3 linked regions of the Drosophila melanogaster genome follow. The protein of the gene in region 3 interacts with the protein of the main gene of each other region in a pairwise test. Each region holds a gene or a part of one and is shown on either strand. Other genes may lie near its edges.

What was found.
Region 1: the proteins of trv (region 3) and RluA-1 interact in a two-hybrid assay, tested with the Drosophila melanogaster proteins (one large-scale study listed by BioGRID).
Region 2: the proteins of trv (region 3) and CG1394 interact in a two-hybrid assay, tested with the Drosophila melanogaster proteins (one large-scale study listed by BioGRID).

Annotation. Positions count from the first base shown.
Region 1 is NT_033779.5:10,470,907-10,476,592, reverse strand, and holds the start of RluA-1 (RluA pseudouridine synthase 1), read left to right. Parts: upstream 1-2,243; 5' UTR 2,244-2,311; exon of another isoform or gene 2,312-2,445; intron 2,446-4,107; exon of another isoform or gene 4,108-4,266; 5' UTR 4,267-4,421; coding exon 4,422-5,117; intron 5,118-5,686.
Region 2 is NC_004354.4:11,168,868-11,172,816, forward strand, and holds CG1394 (uncharacterized protein), read right to left. Parts: upstream 1,812-3,949; 5' UTR 1,643-1,811; coding exon 1,139-1,642; 3' UTR 944-1,138; downstream 1-943. Other genes in the region: Antdh (antennal dehydrogenase), read right to left, coding at 1-162.
Region 3 is NT_033777.3:28,024,535-28,030,156, forward strand, and holds the start of trv (trivet), read left to right. Parts: upstream 1-2,080; 5' UTR 2,081-2,336; intron 2,337-5,622.

The sequences.
Region 1 (5,686 bases), on a different chromosome or scaffold from region 3:
CCAGCACACCTTTCTATATATATATACATATAAATGTTATATACAGGTTGGTAAGAGATCTGTGTTGTTTATAAACACGCGCATGATGGGCATGTTTAGAGGCAAAGCTTTTCTATGAAAGCGAAAAAAAACGCGATGTCGTCATTTTTAGTTTTGTCCAGGCGAAAAGTCAATTTAGAACAGTAGCTCAAATGTGTAGGTGTGTGTGCGGGCTCACACACACACATACACGAATGCGGATGGGAGAAATTTAATGGGTGAGCTAGCGCACACCTACAAAATATCGTGCTGATTTAATCACTTTCTTCGTTTTCACAAACGAACGTCAACTTCTCGCACACCAACACACACACACACACACCTAGTCGCACACACCCACACACACCAACCCCTGTTTATTCAGGATGAGCCCTATAGCTTTTTAGCCATATAGCCATATAGCCCCATAGCCAGTGGCCATTAAATGTTGCCTCAAATGACGGGCAAGCCTTTTCTTTGTTGTTCGCTTTCGTGACCAACCGCGTTTCAAGGAGACCTCCACTCCACTCCACTCCATATACCCGTAGACCATGGCGTCGGGATCTGAATGGAATGGCCCGTGCGAAAGTGGGTGAGTTTCGGAAAACAAAAGTCACGCAGTCAAACACGCAATTCGCGGAGCCTTAGCCCAAATTTGATCAAACATAATGCCTTCTGTATTTTGGTTAGTTGCTAATTGGAAAAAATTATTAAAACTAATCCAACTATCTTTGAGTTGTTTCAATAGTCCTTGCTTATCTAAGGATCAACACGAGCTCGCTTGATTTAGCTTAATTTGTTGCCTACTTTTTGGCGCTCAAAAACATGGAACCAAACTTACAAGGATAAAGTTGCTTAGATACTGAAACAAAAATTATGTTTTTTTAGATTATAATAAGAATTTCTTCACTTCCACAAGATCTACGTTACGAATTTCACTTTTGGTGAATCAGATCTTTTATACTTTTGTTTCGCTCATCATCAGCCTCAACATTCTTTTGTTCATTTTCACTGTGTCAATCGGAAAAGGCAAACGCATTGTTTTCAGAATATATGTACATTCATGTTGGTATGTAATTTTTGAGGAATTCTTTCGAATGATTATTTGGTGCAAGTCGTAACTGATATTAGAAGGTTGTGGCTGCAACACCAGAAGTATGATTTTGAATATGAAATTGCTTCGAGCATTCCGAAAAAGTGGATTTTATACGAGTAATTGTGGGTGTGCCAGAGGACACTTACCATTTGTTTAGGGGAATTGTGTCAAATGGTCCCTGTGGCTTTGCACATCAGTGAGTTGATAGAAAAATTCAAGAGCAACTTACTCGAAGTCCTATAGAATTAAGCTGACCACTTACACAATTTTGTTTTTGAAGAAGTTCTTTACAAAATTAAAAAGAAGATGAATTGCTAAATTTCGTATGTCATAAAACCATTGCGATACTAATTTCTGGCCTAATTTGTAAAATCCTTTTTATTTTACAAAAATGCTAATACAGTCATGTTGGAATGTGTTGCAAGCAGGCAATCGCATGTTGCATGTTGCAGTTCCATTTCGAGTGCAACCACAACCAAGTCGCCCGACTTTTTATTTGAACGCGAAAGGTGAATTTTGGATTAAGGCCTTAAACCACAAAAATTAATCAAATTAATGGTTAATTCAATGGTTTTGGCAACAATTAAATGCTTTACCTAAGTAGGTCTTAATTGGTGCACTTCGAAATAGACATTCTAATAAAACGCGTAATTACTCGTCAAAGTATTTTATTTTAGTAATTGAATTATTTATTTATTTATTTTGCTGTTTGGCGCATGAGACAAGATTTTTAATTATAAGAGTTCCATAAACTTGATTTTAAATTATTTTAGAAGAAATACTGCTAGAAAAAAAAAACTACATTTCATGTAATTTATTGACAACTTACCATTGCATCAAACAAGTTACAAATTCACCACTATACAGTGGACCAAAAATGCATTTTATGGGTAAGAATAAAACTGTTTGGGAATAATATATTTATTATAATGTTAAAGTTTTTAAATTTGTTTTACCATATTGCAAAACCGGCTCGAGATTTTCGTAAATTGAATCAAACATTTAAACACCTGATCCTACCAAACATTTTAAAATTAAAAATGCGGTTTGCCCCACTGTGCAGCGGAAAATTCACCACGACGGCGAACGGCAACCCAAGTTTGTTATGTTTGCGCCAAGTTTTCTGATTTCATTCGGTGTTTTGGACTCGGCGAGACTGGAAGTTGATGCTGCCGCGTGAATGCCATCGTCGGTCAGGTATTAAAACGTGACACTTCTAATTCGCGTGTGATTCCCCCGAGTTTGCAGTCAATTTGTGATCAGAAAACATTTAAAATGCGTGGTTTACTTTGTGAAAAGATCTAATAACACTATGAAACTTAAATCAATGTGCAAGTGACGGTTATATAAATTAATTATATTAATTTAAAGCATAAATAATGCGAAGAGCCTGCAAATAAAGTACACTAAAAATACTCAAGGAAACATAATTTTTGTCGACATAACTCGAACAACATAATAGTGAATAATCAACGGCGCCGACATTTTGGCTGAAGAATACAAATTTTCATAAACGACAAACGATAATTTTCCATAACCAATAATATTATGACACATTTTATTGGATTTTAGTGGCTGAAACTATGGAACTTTGAATGAAATGATTCAAATAATTGGGCATATGTTAGAATTCATTGCTATATAAACCGATTATTATGCGCTTATTAATAGGAAAAGCAAAACTAAAAGAAACATTCTCCATCGGGTCGCAAAACGGTCCATTAAAATTATTATGTTGTGCTCTATGAAATTCTATGAGCCATTTTAGTTTTGTATTTTCCTTACCAACAGTTTAGAAACGAATTTACCTTCTGCTGGCGCAGATATACAAATTTTCTTATAAATATAGAAGTATCTCTCACTAAATTTGTTGTTCTTGCTTTTAAGCCCATGATCTATTGTCATCCTGGTGATTTTGAGATCTGGGGACTTACACATGAAACGTTCACACGAGCGCATATATAGGATGATTTTTTTTTTTTAAATATATTTTTTCTTCCCATTGTCTACACATAATATAGTTATGCAAGCATTTTGTTTGAGAAATGTACTAAAATCACTCGAAAAGATACACAATTGTGGCTGATAAAATGGAACTAAGACAAAAGACGACTGATGACAAAAATGAATGTGGCTATATCTCTATGTCTCTATGTACATACATTCCTGCGTCTTAAGGCACCGAAAATCTCGAATAATTCTTTGAAATTCTGGTATCTTGTCGATACAGCCCGAGTGGACCTAGTAATATACAAAAACTTAATTTAGCACAAGCTGCTAGCGCAAATGAAAATGTTTACACGTGCGCATTTGTGCCATTTGTCTCAGTAGGTGGTGAGGTATATATGCACGCTATATATACATATGTACATATATATATACCTGATTCTAAACATTCTAAATCGTGAGCCGATATCCTCCTAATGCCTGGTCTCGTATACGTATTATTCCATCCATTACACATCCAAACAGTCCAATATATAGGCACCCCCATACGCATTTCTTCTTGCCAGAATTCTGACAGACGCATGTACGGTTCCGAATGTAGGTTTATACGTATTCTAGAGGATATATTAGACTTTGTCTCGTGCAATTAGAGTAGCCAAGTAGCAGATGGCCCCCGCGTGTATTCCAAATGTATTTTCAAAGTATCCATTATCGTTTGGCTTGTATTTAGCAAAAGGAATCTACAACTCTCATGCGAATAGAAATTCTTTGATCCAATAATGCTCTTGTGTATGTATGGCCAATGAAAATATTATTGTTAAAAAAATATTAACGCGCACACGATAGACAAAGTTAATGCAGTGCAAAAGCTAATCAACATATTGTTCCGACTTTTGTGTGTGTGTGTGTGTGTGTGCGATGGGCTATTTTTTAACGCCAATCCGCTAATAGAAACCACAAATTAACGCATTTCGTGGAGCCTAATATGCAAGCTTTGGTATAGGTGTTCATAAACACTATAAAAAATAAATAAGTCGTTTGTTTAGGTTTTTAATTCGCATTATACAAGCCCGAAAATCGCTTCGACTTTTCAAATAAAACAGTCGAAACAGCATATGTACGGCCAAGACAATTTGTAAACACGTACAAGTACACAAAACGATTTGTAATTGACTTTAAGAGCCATAATGCTATCGCAATCGAAGTAAACAACAGATGATCGTATAACTCGGGAATGTATCCGTGAAGTTTTCTATCCGCAGCGATATTAATGTCATTTTCGATCAACAACAAAAAAAAACCCATCCAATCTGCAGTTTCCTCTCAGTGAAGTGAATAATTGCCCAGGATCGTGTCAACAATGCAGAATTCTCCGGCTCCGTGTGCCTGGTACTTGCCCTGGTCCCTGGCCGCCCAGCAGCACCAGCAAAAGATGCTGCAAATGCAGTCGCCGTTTCTGGACAAGATGGGCGCCACATCGGTGGGCGGCATCTTCGCTGGCCAGCCGCAGATGCAGCAACAATTGTCGCCCAATACGGCAGCAGCACCGCCGGCAAACTATCAGCAGCCCGCTTTGCATCCAAGCGCCGCACCAGGCGCACCACACTTCCACATGGGATCCCCGTATAGCCATCTGGCACCGCAGCTCCTCAACGCCGGACAGCTGAACCAGAACGCACTGATGCACTCCGCCATGTTCTCTTCCCTGCCACTTGGTGCGTACTATGCACCCGCCGCCGGCGCAGGTCACTCGGCCTTTGGTGGCGTTCCCCTGACCACGGCTGCCCAGCAATCTCTATTGGCCGCCACCGGAGGAGCAACTGCTGGCCATTTGGCCAACCAGCAGACGACGGCTCAAGTGCCCGTCCAGGTGCCCGTGCAAATGGCCCAACGGACAGCTCCGGCCGCCTGCTCCATGGTCCAGCCACTTAACTGCCTGCCGCACCAGGAACTGAATCACCTGTCGTCCATCAATCTCAACCTGCTGCGCAGTCCGGCGCCTCCGCTCCCAGCCATTCAGGTCTTGCCAAGTGCCGAGGTGCCGATTAATAAGAAGGTGAGTTGCAGTTTGCTTAGTACTTGTAATGATAGGCACTATTCGTACTTGAGCGAAGGCTAGTACTTAAATTACGTAGACAAGTGCACTGAGGCAAAATATCAGTAACTAACTTAGTGGTACAATAATATACGAAAGATAGTCTCACATGAAACTATTATCTTAATGATGGAAATATGTTACGTTAAAGGGTGGAGCAGTTTCATTGCCTTTTTTGTTTTCTTGATCATTCATAATTGGTATATTGAATACTTCATTGTATAATATATACACGTTTCTTAATTAAGAACAAGAAACAGAAATCTTCTTAATGGATAAAACAATTGATGGATTACTGCTTAGCTGCTTTTGTTTAATCAAGACATAAACACAAAAAGTTCTTCAGTTCCTCATGTAACTATAAAAAATTAGTTATGCAAATAAATAGAAAACCAAATCACTTGTGATTGCTTGTGCCTAATTAATTCTTTGCTTATACAAAATATGGCAGTGATTTACACTTTCACAAAATAATGTAAACTAAGTACACTCGATTTCCTTTCTATAATCCACAATTAAATCGCAATCCC
Region 2 (3,949 bases), on a different chromosome or scaffold from region 3:
CTTCTCCGCCGGCAGCTCCCTCTGCAGCTCCTTGACGCGATCGACACGTCGGGCCAGACCCACCACCGTCATTCCGGCTAGGACCAGATCCTTGGCTATGGCCGATCCGATGCCCGAACTGGCGCCAGTGACGACGGCCACGCGATTCTGCCAGCGTTCCATGATTTTCGATTGCGATTTCAACGATGATTACTCGAATCTCGGCCAGAAGATCCACTTTATATATCGCTGCGATGGTTGCGTGCGCTCTCCAAACGAGTTCTAGCCTAGTACACTGAGAGAAAAGTTCGAGCCAAACAATAGAATAAATATATAATGACTTGGTAACATTACGATTATGCTAAATTCATGTAATTTTAGTATAAATCATCGAATCTTTTTTTAAGAATAATTTCCCAATGGGCATACCCATTTTTTTGTAAGTGCATCTCGTTAGCGTGTTGAGAAATTGCCATCTCATCACTGTGACAATCAGCCACGCCCTGTGATACGACAAAAGGGGCGGCAGGCGTTGTATTTGCATAGTTAGAAACGATGAAACTTGTATTGTTTTTTGTACTTTACAATGCGAATCTCAAGAACATATATTTATACGAAGTGCTCAAGATAATCATACGGTGGAAAATTGGGTCTATTAATCTTATAAATGGTTTGCACCTAGTTATTTAAATTTGATTTGTTTAAACTAAATAGAAAAATCGAAATATTTACAATGTAAGCTTGATTTGTGCTTTAATTATTTGTATAAAAAATAAAACTTCAATATTTGACTGCCGAGTGAAAATAACAATAGTAACCTTTGCCATACATCACATTTTGCCTATTTAGTAATTAGCATATAAAATATATGCGATTTGAGTTTACAACGCTCTTCTCACATTCAATTTGCCGCACGTTAACTCATCTCTGTATTTATTAATGCAATTAACCCACCCACCGATTTGTGCCAACTGATTATTTTCATATCTTATGGATTTATGACATTTATTTTATACATTTTCGCCAAGTACGAGTCGTTTGAGCTGCACAAAACGGACGTTTGGTTCGAAAACTAATTGTGTATGTATATGGCCCATATGCGATTCACTTTAGTCGTTCGGTGAAGATGCTCGTGCTGTCATTGTTCGTGGCATCGATCCTACCAGAAGCCACCCTTGGATGCACTGCCTCCGCCGTAGTTCATGCTCATGTCCATGCCGTTGTAGGCGCAGAAGGCTTCGCCATTGTCGATGCACGGTTCATTTCGTCCGGGTATGTCTCCATATATTGAACGGTCCACGGGTGGCGGCACTATATGCTGGGCTCCTGTAATGGGCATGCCACACGACATGGCACCCGGCATGGCACCCGGCATGGCACCCGACATGGCACCCGGCATGACGCCCGGCATGGCACCCGGCATGGCAGCCGGCATGCCACCGGCTCCTCCGGCGTATGGTAGCATGGAGTGTGCCTGAGCTGCGCCCTGGCTAGGCCAACCTCCTAGTCCGCCGGCTGATCCTAATCCTGGTGCTGCTGCTGTTGCTGATAGTGGTGGTGGAGCGGCTGCTCCAGCGGCAGAGTGCTGCATGAAGTCACCCATCTGCGGATAAACGGGAGCATTCAACGGCTGGCCATTCCAGTACGAAAACGAATTCGACATATTGTGAGTTGCGGTTGAGTAAATCCTAAATACAAATAATTTGGGAAAGTGGTGAAAAAGAAACAGTTTTTCTTTCGATTTTTTTTTTTTTGACCAAATAAAAGTTGTACAAAATTTTGCTCCGCTGAACGGTGTTTACTGTTTGGGATCTAAAATATAACTGATAATCTGGAGCTCCGGCTGGGGTACCTCGATTTTTCGGCTTGACATTTAATTTCATGGATATGTTGATTGGAAATTTTTGGAAATTTTTTTTCGACCGATTGCAGTTGGCCATGAAAATACATACGATATTAAATTGATTGTTTTACCTTGGCACATATTTTAGGTTTAGCTCTTCCATAAAATGCCTAAGAGTAAATATATTTTCTAAATATTTTGAATAGCAAATTATAAGTTACCATAGTATATATGTACATCATCGTAAAATATTTGATTTATTAACCTGACATAAGATTGTTCATAAAGGTTTTTGTGCTTCTAATTCAGGTCATTCCGTGTTATTTAGCATACAATTTTATATTGTGATAAATGACATTTCTTTTTATTTTCATTTCATCTTTTTGCTCTTGAGTCTTGATTCCTATTTCTATGATTTTTTTTTTTTGGTTTAGCCTTGTCGGAAAATGGGGGCGGTGGGCGACCGAGGGGCGTGGCATGGCCAGCGTTGTGTTTAATTTTTGAAAAAGGACGCCAACTGTCGTGATGCAGCACAGATGATAATGACGAAGACGCGGCAACAAACGTTTATTTACACACTGGGTATTAAATGGGTATTAAAGACTTGGTACCATAAAATAGAAATAAAACATTGTGCATCTAATTACTTTGCTAACTATAAAACAATTATAAAACTGCATTAAATTCGATTAAAGTAATTGAACATTTTGGCAAATATAAGCAATTATATGCTATTTCGTGTTTAACTTTCAACTTGATCTTATAGCCCATCTAACACGTTTTGATTCACACATGATTGGCATTTAAATACGGTATTTTTAAGGTTCTCACCCTCTTGGCCATTCACATTCCACTTGATTCTTGTGCCAAGCATAAAATGCAAAACACTTGAACTGAGTGAAAACGAAGGCGAAAGCAAAATAAGCAACAACAAAATGTCTCATAAACCAACCAGATGCAGTGAAAGAAAATTCATACTAAAAATATATACATATATAACAAATGTACAGTATAAATTATTACTTTATAGTTCTAGTTGACAATAAGGAATTAAATGTTTCAACATTGCGTATGCTTAATATTCAATGCTGATATTGCGTATACGCAACGTTGGCCGCATTTTATTTTTAACTGTGCCTGCGAATATGAAGAATAAGCAGTAAGCTGAGAGAAAAATAAAAGAACGCAACATGGCAGGGTGTTGATAATGATAGCAAAGACAAAGGCCCACGCCTAATGGGACACGGAATGACGACTGAGGGGCGATGATGAGGCGTTGGCCGGATGGCAGGATAGCTGGATGCTTGGATGGTTGGATGGTTGGATGACTGTAAGGCCGGGTGACCATCCGACTGTCATGCCCACGTCCTTGACGCGCTGCAGTGGCGACAACGTAGTTAAATTGCCTGTCCTCGGCCGGCGTCAACATTGTGTCATTGCTAGTATTAAATCAGAGCCAAACAAATGATGATACATAAGTGCGACACAAGTGCGCAAAAAAAAGAAAAAAATATACAAACACAGCGAAGATTAACCGAAATGCTGGGTGGGAAAATTAAAATTACAGCACATAGCTTTGGTGCACTGAAAGAAAAATCCAGCACATTTTAATATTCAAGGTTCTTACTTTAACTATATAGTAGTTAAATTGCAATAAAATTGAAGTTATTTAAACCGATACTATTATTTATGACTACACACTGTGCACTTCTTGTGCAAAGAAATTTGTCTCAATATAAATTATGCTGGAATTCCTCTGGTTTTTCGTGTCTTAAGCGCTGTAAGTGATCAACTGAGTTCATATTTCAACGCCTGACCTTGGGTCATTCCAAATTATGTGATGCCAACTATGCCGGATGGGAGACTGATGGGCCAGGGCAGCTGGGTTGGCGAGCTGGTAACTAGAAAAGGGCAGCGGGTAAAGCGGGAAGACAAAGAGGCCAGTGCATAGCATAGTTCATCAAGTTTGCAAACAAACGCATACCACAGTCGGACTTCAAGGAGGCGAAGCGTCTCGAGGGGGGTGGGGGACTTCGACTTGGGTCAAATATGTTAGCAGTTGCATTCTGTTTTGGCTGGGAACAGCAAACATTCAAGTAGCTGGCAAAGGACAAAGGACCAGCACAG
Region 3 (5,622 bases):
TCAAGCAGATGCCACATGCTCCTCATTCCGGTCGTTCGATGGGTAAATAAACGGCGGGTTCTGGTTTGGGATTTCCCGCATCTCTGGGGGTCGCATTTTTTCGTCACTGGCGGACTAATTTGCAAGACAATTAGAAGGTCTCTGGCCGAACCAGACGACGGTCGCTAATGAAAGCGCGCGATAAGAAAACTTAACAAATGTCAAATGGCCGAAAGGAACGATGGAGATTGCAAGTCGGAGGTTTAAGCGCCGCCGGGCCACGCTGTCTGCGCTGAAAAGTAAAGTAAATGTTTACTTGGGAAATCTGAAATTTGCATAATTTGCCAAAGAAGCAAGGAGGAGACTGTCTGCCACCGATAAAGTCGCAGTAATATTCATGGCTTTCTTGCCGGGATGGATGACAAAGTTTTGGGCCAACGATGCCATCGTTGGATTGTGTCACATGTGCCCCTCTGACCAGCGAAAGATAATGTCCGGAAAGTGTCAAACTGGACGCCGGTTTGACCATCGGCCTGCCAGGATGTCGTCGATGCCGGCTAGCAGGTGTCAGGTGCTCTACCGAGTCCTGTCAGCTGATTCCTTTGGTCAGGCTCAACAGGATGCCACGTGCTCATACCACAGTTGTTGCTGGCTTGTATCGCAGTTCTGCAGCCGAGAGCGAACCGAGGAAAATTGCGATACAAGGAGCACTAACTTTCGCTCTCGGTGAGCGGCTCTTCGTGACTTGTATCGCATTTTCGCCGCCAGCCTGTTGTTGTATTGCTTCTCGCCCGCAAAACAACTCGTAAACAAAGAGCAGAGGCGTCGATTTACCAGGGGGTTTTCACCGGAACTGATCTTTTTCGAACCTTTATACGCGTAAATCGTCCGCCATTTTGTCATTTCTGTGAAATACTAAAGCTCTGGAGCGACTATATACTCTTGTTCGATGGCGCCTCCCCTTTGGATACATAAGGCTTTGTGACTTTTACATGACCAGCGTTCAGACTCCGCCTCTGTGTCGTACATGCAGGCTGCGAGTGCATTGGTATTGGTGAGAATCCTTGCAGCATGCGGAGAGTTGAGAGAGCTCACGAAAACGTGGTGCTGCTCCTCGGTGGTGGATGCAGCCGAAGGACTTCAACGAATTCGGAAAGTGCGCTACACTTAGTAGAATATAAACTTGTTAATAGGTAAGAAACATAAAATACTAGTAGATGGTAAGCCAAAAATCCTTTAATGGCTAGAGATTTTAATTAGGTATTTGTTTTAGTTCAAAGATGCACGCGAATACCAAATCAATTACTTAAAATATTTGATAATTAAAAATGTTTTTAAAATCACTTAATATTATTCGAAAAAGTATCTCGATTTCGTATGCTGGTGCAAAATCATATTCTCGCCTTGAGCTGTAAATAATTAAGGAACTCCCAGAGTGTGTCCGTATGACAAAGTGCAGCTCATCAGGCAACTTAACCCGCTGCCACTCAGAACACGGGCGCACTGAAGAGCCATCAAAACAGAGATACTCGTGAGGCACTTGGCCAGGAGCAAGGCAGCAGGACGATGGAGTTGGTGATGAGCCGGCCTCGTTCAGCAGATGGTCATACTCGCACCTTTGCGTCCTGGTGGTGGATGTCCTTGGCTCTCTCTCTCTCTCCTTCTATCTAGCTCTCTCTATGAATATGTGCAAATTAGCATATCAAATGCCATAAATGGCGCTAAGGCAGATAGCCGTGTGTTAGTGACTGTGTGTGTGAGCCACTCTCCATTGTTACCCATACGCCACGTTGCACGAGCGAATGAGCGCACGAAGGGCGGTGCAAAAAGGACGAGGGGTGGGTGCACCTGCAGCTGTGTGTGTGTGTGCGTGTGATTTAGTTGCATGCGATAATGTCAACCACAGAGAAGAGCCGTTCGCCTTTATTCCGCTGCTTGGGTTGGCTCGCCTTACGTACCCTGTATTGGTGGCACACGTGTGTGTGTGTGTGTGTGTGTGATGGGTCGCCTTCTTCTTCTTTTTTTCGGTGGTGGTGCAGCGCTGCCACTTCAAAAGCTACTGAAACTGCTGGACGCCGACTTTGGCGACTGGGCTCTTCAGTGTCAATTCGTCGACACGAGGCGCTGCTTTTCGCTCAGAACTAATCGTTAATGTCTTGGAAAGGATATCCTTCCTGACTTCCCGGTTTTCACGGCTACCACGTGCGCGTCCGCTTACTCGTTTTTCCCATACTCATCCTGATTTGTGTTCCTGCCTCTCCGAGTCGCGAGTTTTGTTGTGCCGAAGTATAAAAATTCGATACAAGCCATCGAAAAGTGGGCCATTCGGGCGGTGTCCTGCCAGGACCTGCACTAGTGTAAGTGAGCACTGCATTTTGGCGGAAGAGAGGGAGAGTGTGAGTAGAAGGCAGTCGCTCTCTTTATTGTGCTACGTGTTCTGACCTTGTTTACATTTTTTTTTAGTAGCCGCAAATGACAACAGCGGTTCAAAGGGTGCGCATGTGTACAAGAAAACAGATCCTTAAGTCAGATAAATATCTTGTGGGATTCTGAGATGCTACACTCCTTTTTGAGATCTTTTTCACGAGAATCCAGAAATAAACTTTTTTTAATTCCTTCAATGCATTGAACAAATATATAGAAAACTTCTGTCGTCGTGCTATTACTTATATAAATCAACTAAAAATTTACATTAAATTTTTTGTTAATTTTTTTAATTAAGGGAATACTTGGTAATTTTCCAGAAATTTCGAACTGAAATGTATTAAAAAGGAATTATTCTAACAAGCCCTCTTCACTGAAGTGTATTTTAATTACTTTAACGTAACCCTTACTACAATATTTCAAAATTCAAATGGTAGCTCAATGGAATTTGGAAAGAATTTCCAATTTTCCGTTCCGTTCTAATGCATTTATAATCAGCCGAGGATTACACATTTAAATGCCAGATTTAAATCACAACCCTTCCCTCAAAAGCCCAACCACATAATTTATGTAAAAACTTTATAATCCAGGAGAGGTTTTTTGTTGCAATGGCGCTTCATTAATTTATGAATATCAAATTGCATTTTGACATTTGCCAACAAAAACTATTTAAAACTTGTCCCGGCCTGTGCCCGGCGCACAATAGCCTTGGTCCCTGTCCCAGGACCTTTTCCAGGACCCCCATCCTGGCCATTTCTTCGCGTCCCCTGCCATTGGCGATTCGGTTTGATTGAAGCACCCGCATGTACAGAACATTTTAAATATTTACAAAGATATTTCAAAAAACGCTTTTGGCATGTTTTGTTTTTGTACCCAGTTCCTTTTATAATTGTTGTTGCTGTTCTGCTGCCTGTTGTTGGTCTGTTTGTGTGTGTGTGTCCAGAGGTCCTCTGAGTTTTCCCCCCCTGTTGGTCGAGTGTTTTGCTCACTTTTCGGTCGCTGGGAAGAAAAAGGGAAAACGAACTTCAAATGTGGCATGAGGGCGGCTCTTGAGTTTGTGTGTGTGTGCGTGTGTGTGAATGTGTGTTTGTGGGCGGAGCACTTGAGGGCGCGTGTGTCCTTTTAGGAAAGTGTCAAAAACCGTTGGTCAAAAAACCGTATGGCAATTATTCAACACAATTGAATATGAAGTGCGGCGATGGCAAGGGCGAGCATGTGGGGCGCAAAACAAAAAAAAATTGCAGCGCTGGGCAAATAATGAAAAATACACCCACATCAGTATTTTTCGGCTGTCTGCACTCAGGCGCACACACACCCACCCACCCACTCACACATTTGCACCCTTTTCATGTCCTGCTGCTCCTGCCGCCGTTGCCGTTGTTGTTGCGCAGTTGCTGCCGCCTGGCAATTTTTCGGTGATAAAATATTTAAATTTAATTAAGGCCACCGACGAGCAACACGATTGCCGGGGCCAGCGGCCAAAAGGGAAGATGAAGTGGTGCCGGTCCTGGCCGGACCTTTGACCCTGCATTCCCGTTCCCAGGAAACGAGGGGATACATACGGGGCTGGGGGCTTTGGACTGGGGTTCCACGTCCTTTTTGCGCCTTTTGCATTTGCGTATGGTGCGTTTTGCAGGCTTACGGCTCTGTTGGCCGGCAAGAAATTCATTAAAAATTTTTGCTTTGATGCTACCAAATTCTTTTTGTAAGTTTCTTTGTACTTCCAGCTTTGTACATCTCACGGACAGCACAGGGCCACAAAACATACTTTCAAAGGACCTCGGCGGTCGGTCTGTGTCCTTGCCAGTGATTATGTGCTCGGACTAAACCCCTTTCGGTTTTTGTAATTAAGCTGCGAGAGCCACAATAGTTGCATATGCACGCGTTTCTTCCCAGATATTGTGCACACAAATTGAACACGATTACAGCTGGAAATTGTTGGCCAAAAAGCAAACTTTCCATATGCTAGCAACTTAATCGCCGGCAAGAAAAATCAGAAAGTTGCTGTCTTGCTTGTCTAAACCCTGAAACTAAACTATTCCGGCTCTGCCACCAAACTTTTGATCTTGAGTTGTGCAAATATTTTTCATTATGCGGGCCAAGTATTTATGGAATTATGGAAATTTGTTTTTAAGATATTTGTTTCCGTTCTACGCAACATGGAAAGTTAAAACCTGTCAGTTTCAAGAGCGGATTTCGGGACATAATCTGGTTCGATTCGGAGTCTGTTTGTTGTTTCTAAACAACAACAACCGAGCTATAGCCATTATGTTGATTGTTTATTTTCAATAAATGTAAATGCATAAATGCATATTTTTTACTCACTATGTCCTATGGTTTACGAAATTGAACTTCTTCCTAGATCAATACTAACTGTTCACATCGTTGACCGATTGCCAGGACTCAGGATTAACCCCCGTATTCATTTCAGACCTGCAATTTTAGAAGTCCTCTGTCAAGTACCCCCATCGACTTCTGATTGATACTGTACGTATGTTGTAAAATGGGGATTTATGGCCTCCAGCATGCAGTTTGACAATTAACCATGGCCATTGCCAACTGGCTGAGGCGAATGCAAAGCTTCCAGCTCAGAAATTTGGCTACAGGCAGTTGCTACTATGGCTGGACACGTGCACCTGTTTTGTCACATCTAATATTCCATTGTTTGGTCTGTGGCAAGGACTCGTTGCTGGCCAAAATGCGTTTTGGAACATTCCAAGAAGCGAAGCCAACGGAGTCAACAATGCTCTATGGACAGAGGCATGCAAATTGGCCAGGAAAAGGGAACGGAATGAGAGCTGGCCAGAAGGAAAAAGGGCACAGGCCCAGCCAATTTTTCTTGCATTTGCCTTCGAGTTTTTCGGTTTTTCCCGTGTTATTGTTACCCCTGCCCGTCCTGTTTGTCCAAGTTGCCATTTCAAGCGTATTGCAATGAAAAGCAAACTTTCCATCGCACACGCAGTTCGGGTTAGGCATTCGGTCTTCTGTTTTTGGTCTCTGGGCTGTTGGGCTGCTTCTCTGCTGGACTCAACAGGCGAACACGGGGCGTATACGAAATTAAAATGCACTCAGCTGAAAAATTGGTTTTCTCGTTCTTGACAAACTTTGAGTGATTTCTGAAAGCCTACGACGGATGCCAGCCCATGGAGGGCGAATCGGCAAACGAGGCGCCAAAACCCCACCCACGGGAAGATACTTTTTGAAAAGCCAGCGCCTCCT